4 linked regions of the Zea mays genome follow. The main gene of each other region encodes a partner of the protein of the gene in region 2 in a complex. Links are inferred from orthologs where the notes say so. Each region holds a gene or a part of one and is shown on either strand. Other genes may lie near its edges.

The links.
Region 1: THO complex subunit 2 (region 2) and THO complex subunit 3-like share a complex: the UniProt entries of both Arabidopsis thaliana proteins name them as parts of the THO complex. The link is inferred for Zea mays from reciprocal best matches to the Arabidopsis thaliana genes THO2 and TEX1.
Region 3: THO complex subunit 2 (region 2) and THO complex subunit 5B-like share a complex: the UniProt entries of both Arabidopsis thaliana proteins name them as parts of the THO complex. The link is inferred for Zea mays from reciprocal best matches to the Arabidopsis thaliana genes THO2 and THO5.
Region 4: THO complex subunit 2 (region 2) and THO complex subunit 1-like share a complex: the UniProt entries of both Arabidopsis thaliana proteins name them as parts of the THO complex. The link is inferred for Zea mays from reciprocal best matches to the Arabidopsis thaliana genes THO2 and THO1.

What each region holds. Positions count from the first base shown.
Region 1 is NC_050102.1:86,892,402-86,895,122, reverse strand, and holds part of THO complex subunit 3-like, read right to left. Parts: coding exon 2,711-2,721; intron 1,396-2,710; coding exon 1,338-1,395; intron 1,202-1,337; coding exon 1,102-1,201; intron 308-1,101; coding exon 221-307; intron 1-220. UniProt on the Arabidopsis thaliana protein: Acts as a component of the THO subcomplex of the TREX complex which is thought to couple mRNA transcription, processing and nuclear export. Contributes to the integrity of the endogenous trans-acting small interfering RNA (ta-siRNA) pathway.
Region 2 is NC_050098.1:214,439,793-214,443,364, reverse strand, and holds part of THO complex subunit 2, read right to left. Parts: coding exon 3,489-3,572; intron 3,373-3,488; coding exon 3,268-3,372; intron 1-3,267. UniProt on the Arabidopsis thaliana protein: Acts as a component of the THO subcomplex of the TREX complex which is thought to couple mRNA transcription, processing and nuclear export.
Region 3 is NC_050100.1:218,465,043-218,469,124, reverse strand, and holds the start of THO complex subunit 5B-like, read right to left. Parts: upstream 2,819-4,082; 5' UTR 2,758-2,818; coding exon 2,527-2,757; intron 2,439-2,526; coding exon 2,148-2,438; intron 1,270-2,147; coding exon 933-1,269; intron 1-932. UniProt on the Arabidopsis thaliana protein: Acts as a component of the THO subcomplex of the TREX complex which is thought to couple mRNA transcription, processing and nuclear export.
Region 4 is NC_050096.1:2,960,646-2,963,753, forward strand, and holds the end of THO complex subunit 1-like, read left to right. Parts: intron 1-266; coding exon 267-333; intron 334-1,094; coding exon 1,095-1,166; intron 1,167-1,319; coding exon 1,320-1,370; intron 1,371-1,823; coding exon 1,824-1,883; intron 1,884-1,977; coding exon 1,978-2,130; intron 2,131-2,240; coding exon 2,241-2,462; 3' UTR 2,463-2,543; downstream 2,544-3,108. UniProt on the Arabidopsis thaliana protein: Acts as a component of the THO subcomplex of the TREX complex which is thought to couple mRNA transcription, processing and nuclear export. Contributes to the integrity of the endogenous trans-acting small interfering RNA (ta-siRNA) pathway.

The sequences.
Region 1 (2,721 bases), on a different chromosome or scaffold from region 2:
GCATTGACATGCTCTCTAGAGTACAAAAAAAAGATGTTGACACTCACCCCACCCCCAACACACACACAAAACTCTCAAACCTTTAAAATTTAATAAATAGTCTTCCAACGAAGGAACAATAATGACAACTGAGAACTCATGTTTAGAAATATAATAAAACCATTCAAGACTATTCCCATCTAGCAATGTTACATTGTAAAGTTAAGGTAGAAGAACATACTCAAGTTTTGTGAAGGTTCTAATGCATAACAACTCTTTGACATTCCAAAGACTGACAAGTGAATCTGCACTTCCAACAGCGAAATACCTAGCATTGGAACAATTTGTAACTGTCATCAGAAAAACAATTATAGCTTCTCCCAAAATCAGAGTAACTGGAAACCAGATAACTGATTACTATATCCAAAAGATGACTACAAAATGTATGAAGCTTACTTGCATATTGTTGTGGACCAAAACTTGAACATAATTGCTTTCATCACAAACAAGGCTAATTGGAACCATACAATATGGGTCCGTCATTTAGGCCCAGACTCAGTCACACATCAGGCGATTTTCTCCACCTCAATCTATGTGGTGGTATATTGAGCCTCACAGTTCGCAGGACAAAGTATCTAGCGTAGAAAATAAACTAGATCCACTGGCAAACTAAATTGCTCCTCTATGTAAATTCTGAATTCAGTAGTTGCATGAACAGAACAGGTAATCATTTCTTCTCAAACTCACTTACATGTAGGTCATGTCCTAGTTAATCACTCACCCAGAGGTTGCTATTAGTTAACAATTTCTTCTTTACCTAGAGATGAAGCTAGGCTATAAAATTTCAATAATTCTTGTTATTCTGGTCTTTTAAAAAGAAAAAGAATTTTGTTATTCTAATAGCCAAAATATATGTGAATAGGTTGTGGCAGTATTAATTGGAATTAAAGTAATTAATCATGCAAGCATCAGTGTCAAATATTTATAGAGTTCACTGTTACATACATCTTAAATCAAATAGCAGGCCAGATAACCCAATTGAAGTAGTACAAATTACAAATCCAAGTGATCCAAAGAAGTACCAGGGGCGAGAATAAATAAAGAGCCTTCAATAGAAAATACCTATCAAGTGGATCCATTGCAATGCAATAACACCCTGCTGTATGAGCATTCAGCTTGCAGGGCTTTAAAAACTCAAGATCCTTAACCACCTCAACGTGCCCTGCATGACCAATAGACCATGCGGAAACATTAACTGATACAATATGGTAGCACTAGAAATCTGCCAAAATGTAAATACAGTGTTTATTTATTCAGTATTATTAACGTGAGCTTGGAGAAAGCATTTAGTATCCTACCTAACCCAGTAGTAATGAAGAATAGATCTCCAGCTTTATTCCAAGCAATCTCATTCATCTGAGGAACAAAGCAATAATGCAAAGTTGCAAACATTAAACAGTGAAAGCAATATTTTTCCTTGAACACACATGTGTATCAGCATTGAGGGAGAGGCCAAAATGACAAATCAGTCCTCCCTCCCCCCCCCCCCCCCCCCCCAAAAAAAAAAGTGCAAAGTTGCAATGAAGAATAGATCTCCAGCTTTATTCCAAGCGATCTCATTCATCTCAGGAACAAAGCAATAATACAAAGTTGCAAACATTAAACAGTGAAAGCAACATTTTTCCTTGAACACACATAATGTGTATCATTGCATTGAGGGAGAGGCCAAAATGGCAAATCAGTCCATCCCCCCACCCCCAGGTCTGAGTAGGTGGCTGAGTAGCAGGTCCTAAGTTTGACTCCCTATGACAGCAAATTTTATACTGGGGTGAAAAAAAAACCTCATCTGCCGAAAGGTTCATGATCAGCAATACACAAATTAAAATAAAGTATACGAGCGAAAGGGCCTCTAGCTGAGTTAGCTAGGTGGTTTGAGTTCGATTCCCCATGAGAGCGAATTTCAGACAGTGTTAAAAAAATCCTCTTGTCTGTCCCATGCCAAAATATAGGTGTAAGGCTTGGTCCTGGTCGTGGTCGTTCTTACATGGACTATGGTGCCACTGTGTATGGGTGGAGCACTGGAGCAGGTGTCCGGAGGTTTTCTCAACATGTGTGAGGTCTTCTTCTTAATACAATGTATGGGGGTTGTCTTATCCCCCGCAAGTCAAGTTTTAAAATAAAGTATATGTTCAATTATTTGCTAAATTCATACAGCAGTACCCATTTACTCAAAAAACATCCATACATCAAATTGTCTCAGACAAGCACACAAGAACAGTGCTGCTCATTTTATTTCTACAAGGCGAAAGGGTCTCTAGCCGAGTTGTTTAGATGCTCTGAGTAGCACTCCTCAGGTCCTGGGTTTAACTCCCCGTAGGAGTGAATTTTCAGGCTGTGGTTAAAAAAAACCCTCGTTTGTCCCACGCCAAAGCACAGGTCTAAGGCCCAGCCCCGGTCGCAGTCGTTCTCACATGGGCTACGGTGCCGCTGTTTATGGGTGGAGCAGGGGTTCGAGGGTTTTCTCGACCTGCATGAGGTCTTCTTAATATAATGTCATGGGGTCTTAATATAATGTCGTGGGGCGGTCTTACCCCCTCCAGGTCGAGTTTTTATTTTATTTTATTTTATTTCTACCGACATGTATATGTGCATCCTAATCCAAAGAACAGTTGGATCAAACAAAGAGTTGTTAGAAAATGATTCATATATCCAAGCTTCAATTTATAATTACCTCGTAAGTAG
Region 2 (3,572 bases):
AATACTGCCAGCCATCTCCCCAAATGCCTCCCCTCCAAGGCGGTCAGTCATCCCATTCCTTTCTTCGCCCTCTTCGGCATTGCCCCTTCATATACACACACACCCATGTCTTTGGTTGTGCATGCTATCCTAACACCTCCGTTATCGCTCCTCACAAACTTTCCCCCGATCCACTCGATCTCTTTTCCTTAGGTACTCCTCTAACCACAAGAGGTATCGGTGCCCTGCCCTCACCCAACGCGTCATCACCTCTCGACATGTCGGTTTTTATGAAGATGCCTTTCCCCTTGCTGGATAATCGCCACCTCCCGACCTCGACAGTCACCTCGATTCCGATCTCGTCATCGTACCTTATCTTCCCCATCATCGGTCCCACCGACCTCTTCCATGTCGTGTGTGGTCCCTTCCCCTTCGATTGCATCATGTGCGGTCACGCTGCCTCCGCTTGCGCCACGCGTGGCCCCGTCACCCCCGCCTATGCCTCGCTCGGCCCCGCCTCTTTGGCCGCCTTCGACTCGCTTCGCCAATCCCGCCCGCGTCTACCAACGTCGTTTGCAATCCCAACCCTCGATCCCCTCCGTTGAGTCGGCCCATGCCTCGTCCCGCTTCTGTGACGATCCGATATGCACCATCCGATCATTATCCACCGCAACCCACGCCATGTTCACCCGGTGTTCTCAGACTTGTCGATCGGATGGTGCTCACAATCGACGTTGCTCCAGCTTCCTCGTATGTCGCCCCTCCGTGCACGCCACGCTCGTTGATCCCCATTGGCGTCGCGCTATGGAGTATGCGGCCCAACTAGCCAACCACACCTGGGACTTAGTGTTCTGACCCGTTGGCACTAATGTGGTCACCGTCAAGTGGATCTTTCGCCACAAACTCAAGTCTGACGGCTCCCTGGATCGGTACAAGGATCGTTGGGTCCTTCGGTGTTTCACTGAACGCCCCGGAGTGGACTACGACGAGACCTTTAGTCTTGTTGTCAAGCTCGCCACCGTTCGGACCATCCTCTCCCTTGCCCTCTCTCGAGACTGGGCGGTCCACCAGCAGGACATCAAGAATGTCTTCCTTCACAGCACTCTGACCGAGACAATGTATTGCAGCCAGCCCACCGACTTCATCGGCTCCGCTCGCCCAGGTATGGTGTAAGTTGAAACGTTCTTTGCCCCTGTTTGTTTCGGCTTTTCGCAGCTTCTGGCCACCAAAAGTTGTTGTGGACTGCCAAACACTCAGCTTTTCAGCCAGCTTCTATAAAATTCGTTTGGGTAAAAACCATTCAAAATCAACATAAACATATAATCGGTTGAGTCGTCGCAATAGTAGTAATCGGTCACTTTATAGATCCTGGGCCCCATGGACAACTTTATCTTCCTCCGCACGTAATCCTAATGATACTCAGATTCTCTACACAGCCAGATTCTCCCCACAGCTAGATTCTCGGAAAAGCTGGTCAGAAAAAAGTTGAACCAAACAGGCCCTTTGTATGGCCACAAGCAGGCACCGCGGGTTTGGTACAGTCGCTTCGCCTCCGACTTGTTCATCCATCGGTGCGGCGACGGCACCGTCTACCTCCTCTACTTCAACGACATCATGCTCACGATGTCCACCTCTTCCTTCACCAAAGTCGGTACGCCATCGAGATTCTGGAGCAGGCTAGCATGTCCAACTGCAAGCCCTGCTCTACGTCTGTTAACACTCGGACGAAGCTCTGCGACAACAATGGCTTCACGGCCAGCGACGTGACGGGATATCGGAGAGCCTAACCGAGGCTCTCCAGTACCTCACCTTCACAGACTCGACATCGCCTACGCGGTCTAGCAGGTGTGCCTTCACATGCACACCCCATGGGAGCCCCACCTCACAGCTGTCAAGCGGATTCTTCGCTACCTTCGCGTCTCCCTCGACTTCTGCCTCCTTTAACCCTCTCCGACTTCTAAGCTGGTAGTCTACACCGACACCGATCGAAGCTTCCTGCCTCCGTTAGCTTCTTCATGAGCTCCACACCCCCCTCACGTGTGCCACCCTCATCTAATGCGACAACGTCAGGGCGGTCTACCTCTCCAATCTCGTGCAATGTCAGCGCACGAAGCACATGGAGATCAACCTCCACTTCATCCACAAGTGTGTCGTTGTCGGCGATGTACGCGTTCTCTGCGTCCCAACAACTTCGCAGTTCACCAACATCTTCGCCAAGGGGCTTCCTTCCACAATTTTCAACCATTTTTGGTCCAGTCTCAACATTTGTACATGATAGAGTTGTGAATGCGGTGGAGTGTTAGCGTAACTGTGTAAACTCTCTTGTAATGGGCCTTGGCCCAGTTAGCCAGCTATATTAACATACTCCCAACCCACATTAGGGTTAGGGTTACAGTCTTCTAACTTATTTCCTGATCTTTTAGATCAACATGACCAAACATAGAGGGAATAGCAAGATACTAAGACATATAATAATATACTAATACTAAAGATTATATTAGTATTTCAGGGATTAATACATAGAATTACCAAGACATGTACTAATATACATAGAACTAATATCATGGATTATATGACAGAAGCTCCACTTAGAAAAGTGGAGTTACACATGATCATTGTACATAGGAACAATAGCGGCTACCGAAACATACTAATTCCTTAGAAGATGTCTATATGACCCCTTGAACTACCGTTGTTGGTCTACTTCACCCCCTAACATACAAAACAAGGTATTCTACCCCATCGTCTATCCAAAACCATGTAACCAAGCCCCTATGTGGTTTCAATTGGTGGTTTCACCATTGTGGCTTTTTATGGTAAACAGTGCTCATAAAAAGCTGAAAGTACAGGATTAGATCTGTAAAACAAACGGACTTGAGCGTAGTGGTGCTGAATTGTGAACCTCGCTTGTGACAACGAGGCAAAACCACCAATCGGAACCACCTAGGGGTTAGATTAGGTGAGCAGATAGAATACATGGTTTTGTAGGTTAGGGGGTGAAGTAGACCAACAGCAATATTTCAGGGAGTCCTACTAATTCCAACGACCAACGTATAAGTTCCCCTTCTACTCCATACCTCACACATTCGGATTCAGCGAACTATCATTATTACTGGATTGAGTATTTGAGTATGCACAATTCCAAAGCCACTTTATAAATTATTGTGTTCGAAGCATATAAGGTATATCATGACCTTTTCTTCATCCGCTACATGAGAAATGATAGAATGTACAGGGAAAGAATTTCATGCAACGGTAAATATAACTTTAAGAACAGATAAAACCTACCCGAACAAACTGACTGTAGGACACACGCTGGCTGTTTGGGTATCTGAAGTACACTGCAAAACCAGGTTTGTTCGCACATTCACGCTCATAGACAGATTCATCACTCTGCAGTATGTTGGAGATAAACAATTAAGAAGCACTAAAACAATAACCGACACTCCCATTCTTTACCATGAATACAGCAATGATAAATGTGTGGTAACAGTTGAGAGGGAAAATACCTTCCAATAGTAGGCCATCTTCAACGTATCATGAAAAAATCTTCCAAGCCTGCCAGCTTCAAATTCTGTGCAACAGCATATCAT
Region 3 (4,082 bases), on a different chromosome or scaffold from region 2:
ACATCTTGTGTTCACAGGCGCTTAAACAATTTTCACCAGGACCTCACAGCCGCAAAAACGCTTCAGTTTCAAGCAGTTGCCAGCTTGCATGCCACACAATATAACTGCATGCATGTGTCGCCATGCTTATTGCAACACGCATGCTCCCACAATGACCAGATTCCCGCCTGCACACCGCTGACTGGGTAAACAAGGAGTTACAATAACTGCATACAGGATTACAGGAAGAGTGGGTGCACGTAAACAGGAAACAACGCATGCAACTGCATGCAAATAGCTATTGCGCCTGTACATGCCGGATACTTTTCCAGACCCAGTACGCATGTGAATACCAGTCCTTCCATTCCCTTTTACCAAGCGTGATAAGGATGTTTATAGATACCAAGACCTTCAATCACATGCAAATCATATTAACTCACATAGTCATCTGTGTCCCTAACCACAAAGTCTAAGGGCATCTCCAACAATATGAGCTAGTACAAGCTCTAAGCTAGCAAACGTGGAAGAGAGAGCCAATAGCAATTTATATCATATTGTGTGAGAAAGAGGGGCATCGTGAAACGTGTGAGACTATCTCTTTACTCCACGCTAGCCTCTTGTCTTTTGCACTATTCAGCGAAATGGTCTCAACTAGCTCTAAGCTAGCCCATTGGGGATGCTCTAACCATTGTTCAGTTCCTGCTCAGCAGTATACAAGCCACGTTTGCATCCATGCCTTCATTCAATGAACCGAAGGTGCCACTACATGCATGGCATGCTTCAGCGCTGGGCTATTCACATGCATTAGACGTTTCGGTTTTTAGTGGTCTAATTAAGTGCCCTTGATACTCCAGCCCGTCCAGTATTATGGCCAAAATTAAAAACGAGAATAATCCTGGTATAACAGAACAGATGGAGTAGATGGAAGGAGTATCAAGCAAATGCATACGTACTGTTTTCCTTCTTGGCTTGTTGTTGAGCAAATATTTGGGCATCCTTTGTGCTTCCCGCGATCTCTACTTCAATATTCTCTCCAAATGCTTCTTTCTGCCCTAGCAGCTGAGTGTATGCTATATAAAGCGGAGTAGGAAGTAACTCAGCAGCATGGTGCTGCTTTAGTTTCTTGGTATGTTGCATCCCCAACTGTTGCTGCACTGGCAGTGATGCTTTCTTCAATGATTTCAAATGTGATGGCAGGCTTGAAAGAAACTTTTTCTGATTAGCAATTGTCTCCAGCAAGCTGCCCCTCTGTTGTCCTAATTTCTCATGTAGCTTGCATAACTCTTTCCTCTGGTTTACAATTTAAAATCTATTTTAGAAGCCAGCAATGAAATCATGGAAACAGCGCAAATGAGAGAACGCTAGCATCACCTAATAGAGTATAGAACTACTGTCCTTAAAATGTTCAAACCGTGTGCGGAAATAAATAAAAGAAATATAAAAGGTGCAACACAATAGCAAAAGAATACATGTGACTGGATGGTGATCAACTTAAGACATGAGAGCAAAAGTGATGGTAAACAACCTGAGCACAATGAAGAATATATGTGCAGTCTTCTTAAAAATAGATTATAGAAATTTTCATTATGCTACAATTATTATTAGGTAATACTTAATAGTGATACAAATAATCCAAATACTATAGTAAGTGCAAAACTCAACTAGCCTCCTAGGAATAAGATGTAAATTTTAAAAGAAGTTGAAGCAGAGCACAATATAATTCAGCAAAATATGTGTGATACGATCAGCTTATCAAGCCAATAGCCAACAATAAGTTTGTCAGGTGACTGCAAATATTTTAGTAAGTTTCATAGAATTTGAAAACTAAACGGAGTTCAAGCACAGCAGAATACAGTTTATCCAAAAATGCGTGAAAAATCAGCTTGTCAAGAAACAATACACCAGATGATTTGCATCAAAAGCAAGCGGTGGTGTAACTTCATCCACTATCGAGTATAGTTCTAAATTATAAATTCTCCAAAAAGAATCATGTATGCTAGGCTTAAAGTGGTATGTAATTTACCAACAGCTACCATAGCTCAAAATGTAGGCTGTTCATATTTAAGTCCCTCAAACAGGGAACCAAACAGACTAACAGAGTACAGCAAATTGGCAGCAGGTAGAGTTCCATAGTTCCTACAGGGTTGCAAAATATAGCAATACGCAACCTGGACGAGCTCAAAGTTGAGGCGCTTGAGCATGAGGTCGTGGGAGGCGTCGGCAGCGAGGGTCTTCTCAAGGATGTCTGCGGGCGCGGAACGCTGGAACTCCTCCTCGGGCACAAGCTCTATCCCCGGATACTTCGTCTGAAAGTCAAGACACGCTCTTATGGCCTTCACGTAGTGGTTCTTCTCGTACAACAGGTTATGCAGCTGCAGCGTCGTGGAGTCCACCGGCGCCTTCGCGGCCTCCGTCTCCGCCTTGACCTTGTCCTCCTCCATCAGTATCTCTCTGTTCACCTGCGCGGATCAAACTCAACTTAGCACAGCAGATCTACATGTAGGGTTTTGGATGTGGGGTAGGTTTTGGAGCGCGACGCCGACGTACTTGGCGTAGCGTGACGAGGTGCAGAGACATCTGAGTGACAAGCTCGCGGAGCTCCGACTTGGGGGCGCCGTCTTTCTTGATGGCGAGTATCCGGGCTGCGACTTTCTCGATGGAGGCGCGTGTCTCTGCCAGGAGGTCGTGAGGGGAGCGCAACTTGGTGGCCGGAGAGGTAGTCAGCGTCCTAGCCGGCGCGTCGACGTCCATGGCATCCGCAGTCGGCGCCGCCGCCATCCGTTCGGCCGGCGTGGGGAGAGACGACGGCCTTGGTGATGAAGTGGGTGGATCGGAATTCGGAAGTGTGTCGGATCCGTCTTTGGGATATTTGGGCGGCTGGGCCGCTGTTTCCGAGACAAGTTACAAGTTAGAACATCTCTCGGCCCACACGTCTACTGTAGGAAGTAACTTCTTTATTTTAGAAAAAAAACTAATCTGAACTCTGCAAGAGTTTTATCCTCAAGTAATCCTATTACCAAATCAGGTTCTGACTGTACTTTTATAAAAAACTCAAAAATCGAAACCTAGTGGCACATCAATTTTTAAAAAGAAATTTCATTTCAACCTCTAAGGCTATCTCTATAAGCTTACACATCCTCATACATATATTCAAACTTCACTCTATGAACGAGATAGTCTGCAGTGCAAAATAGTATAAAATAGTGCAAAACAGTATTTTTAGGTGACCATAGGGGTGAATTGTTGGACACGGTCTGAGGACCGTTTGTATCGCTTCATTTTGAAAATAATTGGAATCTACTCAACAGAGTCACGGTTATTCATCCTGTTTTTAACCAAAAACAGAGTCACGGTTACTCATCCCGTTTTTTAACCAAATTTTCGCTCGTTTCCGAAAACAGAAAATTAACCAAAATTTGTCTGGATTTTACATTTTCCTAAATGGTTTACGTTTTCAAATTCAAAGAATCAAAATCCGCATTTCTTGACTAATTTCCTATACATATATGAATAAAAACAAGTACTCATGAATGGTGATTGTAGTTCACCTAGTAATCCTTGCCATACGTATGTAGGTATTGGTCACGTCGAGGCGGATAGTTGTAACTAGAGATAATTGTCTGTGATTGCCATCATCAATAGGTCTGCAAACGAATGACATCGTTGTGGATGAGGTGTCCCATAACTTGGGAGGCATGCCTACCCCTAGCACCATATGCTCCAACATCACATTCACCTCTACCATTCCCGTGGCTACCATCGTCGTCGTCTCCATCATCCCCATGGCTACCATTATCATTGTTACCACCATCACCTTGATTATTGGTTTTCTTCAATGTATGTGTATATATTTGATGAGTAGTCTGTGCAAGGGATATATATGTTATATGAAAATTATATGGGCAGTGCGTGTTAATTTATGTATACTTGTGTATTTTGGATTTTACAATGACATGTGTAAATGTATATATACACCACACTAAAATGTACTAAAAATTAAACTTTTACATGGCTAAATGATCTTTTTGATGAAAAAGAACCGAAATCCGGTTGAAAAGCACTAGTGAATCGAAATTTACACAAAAAATAATTCACGTATAAGT
Region 4 (3,108 bases), on a different chromosome or scaffold from region 2:
GATCTGGTTAGGAAAATTAACAAGAGAGAAACTATAGTAACAGGATTGTATGCATTATTAAATTATCAAACTTAAAACTTATATGTGAGAAAGACTCTCCAATCATATAGTTCATGTTATGATTCTGCTAAGGTAAAAGAAAACATGGAGATATTTTGCACAATGTATAAGTCATTAATGTAGCAATCCGAAAGCCAAGTGATGTTCTTTTTTTACCTCTTCCCTTTTATAGTCAAGGTGATATTGCATGCTTTCTTGCATTGTAGGAAGCCAAGGTGGAGACTGGGAAGCAAAGAGCTCAGCCAACTTTGGAAATGGGCAGAACAAAACCCCGTATGTTTACATACATCTTCCCACTGTAGTGCTGAATTAGAAATTAAATTGCACAAATTTATAGGTTTTGGGTCCTCAATATTTGTTTCTTATGTATCACCAAGAATTTCTGCCTTTATATATAGAAACAACTTCAAGTCTTGTTGTCAGTCCTCTTTCATTTTGTCACTTGCGAAAGGGCCTCTAGCTGAGTTGGTTGGGTGGTCTGAGTAGCACTCCTCAGGTCCTGGGTTCGATTCCCCGTGGGAGCGAATTTCAGGCTGTGGTTAAAAAAATCCCCTCGTCTGTCCCACGCCAAAGCACAGGTCTAAGGCTCAGCCCCGGTCGTGGTCGTTCTCACATGGGCTTCGATGCCGCTGTGTATGGGTGGGGCAGGGGTTCGGGGGTTTTCTTGACCTGTGTGAGAAGGTCTTCTTCTTAATACAATGCCCGGGGGCTGTCTTACCCCCCGCAGGTCAAGTTTTTTTTTCATTCTGTCACTTCCACTCTTTAGATTCTAACTTGTTTGCTAGTGTAAAAGTATCAAATTAGTTTGGCATTGGCCTGAGCAATTAAATCTATAAAGTAGTGGTTGTCCCTTGAATTAAGTTTTAAACTTTCTTTGTATATTGTTTGAAAAATGTCAATCTATATAGGACCCTGCTCCCTTGATTGTGAGCATTGGTGCTTCTTTTCTTCTGTACTCTTTTCCTTGTTATTTCGTGGTACGATATTCTGACTTCTAATTTAACTGCTCAATCTAATTTTTATTTGAGCTGTAGAATGTCTTGACTGATCCTGACCGTGTCCGCATGCCATCAATTACAGAATATTGGAAACCACTTGCAGAAGATGTAAGCAATTAGGCTTTCTTGCATCCTTTTTTAATAGAAAGTTAGATGACGTTGACCGTGATGGTTATTTTTGCACTTTGGCCACTCGTCCTTTTGCTGCAAATGAAGTTTTAAACAGTGATGCAACTTCAGTTTACCTTTCTAAACATGCAGATGGATCCATCTGCTGGAATTGAAGAGGAGTATCACCACAAAAGTAATCGGGTAAGTTTGATTTCAGCTATGCTAATTGCCCGATTGCTGTTTTTTTTTGGTTTGAAATTTTACTCGATGGGAAGTATTCCATGACATGTCTATTGAATTGATCAAGTGGACCCTGCTAGCTAATTAGGTTTGAATCGTCAGAGCTCTCGATGGAGAGCCTTACCTTGTACTGCAGTTAGAATTAAGTGCTATTGAAAAAATTCATGTCTTGTTGGGCACAGCTGGTGGAACTTATCGACACTTGTGGTTTTTATTTGTACCCTTTCGTGGGTTATACTCCCATAAAAGCAGTACTGTGCCCATATGTTTCGATGGATGTTGAAATTAGAATATTTGCCTTGAACTAATACAACATTGGCACTTGTTGTTATTTCCACAAAACTAAGTAGCATTACGTGTTTAATCTGCATATATAGCTAGTAGATTGTTGTAAGAGCAGCTTTTGTGTGACAGGTGTACTGTTGGAAAGGACTACGGTTTTCGGCCAGGCAGGACTTGGATGGATTCGCGCGGGTATGTGAAGCATGACGACGCAACAATTTCATTTCGTTCTTTGAGCGTGCAAGATTGGAATGAATATTGCTGGCGATCACCATTTTTATTGCAGTTTTCAGACTACGGGATCGAAGGGGTTGTACCTTCAGAACTGCTGCCACCTGAAGTAAATGCCAAGTTTTCTTCTAAACCCGCCGAGAAGGTTAAGCGGACGAGAAAGGAAGATTCAAAAAGCGTGTCAGCTCATCAGCCCAGAGAGCATCAGGTACATGGACCACCTTCTACTTGTAGACCATGACCTGTCGTTTTGACATCATCATCCCTTGCATTGCATTGCATTGCATTGATTGTTGCTGTGGGCTCTCCTCTGTGCAGGTTGCTGCGACACCTGAAACCGACGGCGGTGTCGACCCGGAAGAAGGCGAAGGCGCGGCGCCAATGGATTCCGACAACGGCGCGGTGGGGGATAGCCAGAAACGGAGCCCGGGGGAGGTCTCTGGCCCTGAAAGCGGGCAGTGCGAGCCTGAGGCGGACGCTGATGATAACGTGAGGACGGAAACTACCAGTAGGGATGCTCGTGCCGGAGAGATGAAATGAAACAGTGGCATGAAGAGGAACCAGATTTTGTCGACTCACTGACATTGAACCAGATTTTGAACAGCTGAGATACATTCTCTTGTTGGTGTGTACTGTGTAGTAGACATCAGTAGCCATCCATTTGAAGGAAATGCTTCCCGCTAGGTCACGTCCCTCTCTGTCTTTGGTACAGTACGTGTTTCAACGATGCTGACCGACCTGCAGCGTCGTCGGCGGAGGGACCCGTGGGTATGAGGAGCTGCCGCTCTCCCACATGCCCGCCTTGGCTCCAAGCCGCCATCGCAGGTCCGTCGTCCGTTGATCGATCCTCCTCTCCTCACAGAAATGTTCAAGTAGTCGATTACATGGGTCATTCGGCCTCACACGACACACGGCCTGACACCTTAGATTATTGAAATTCGAAATTCAAACACACGAACCTTCCCTCCTTTCCTATTCACCACCGATGCCGCCTCATGTCGTCGGGCCGGCCATGACATCTTCCCCGCCTCCATGAATTGATTGTCCCAAATCTAAAGCCTCTGGAAACCGAGTCTTCAACACATCAAAATCTTCCCAAGTAATAGCATCACTTGGTAACTCAGATCAGGCCACCTGAACTTGCACCACAGGCTTGTTACCACGCCGAACCAAACGACGATCTAGC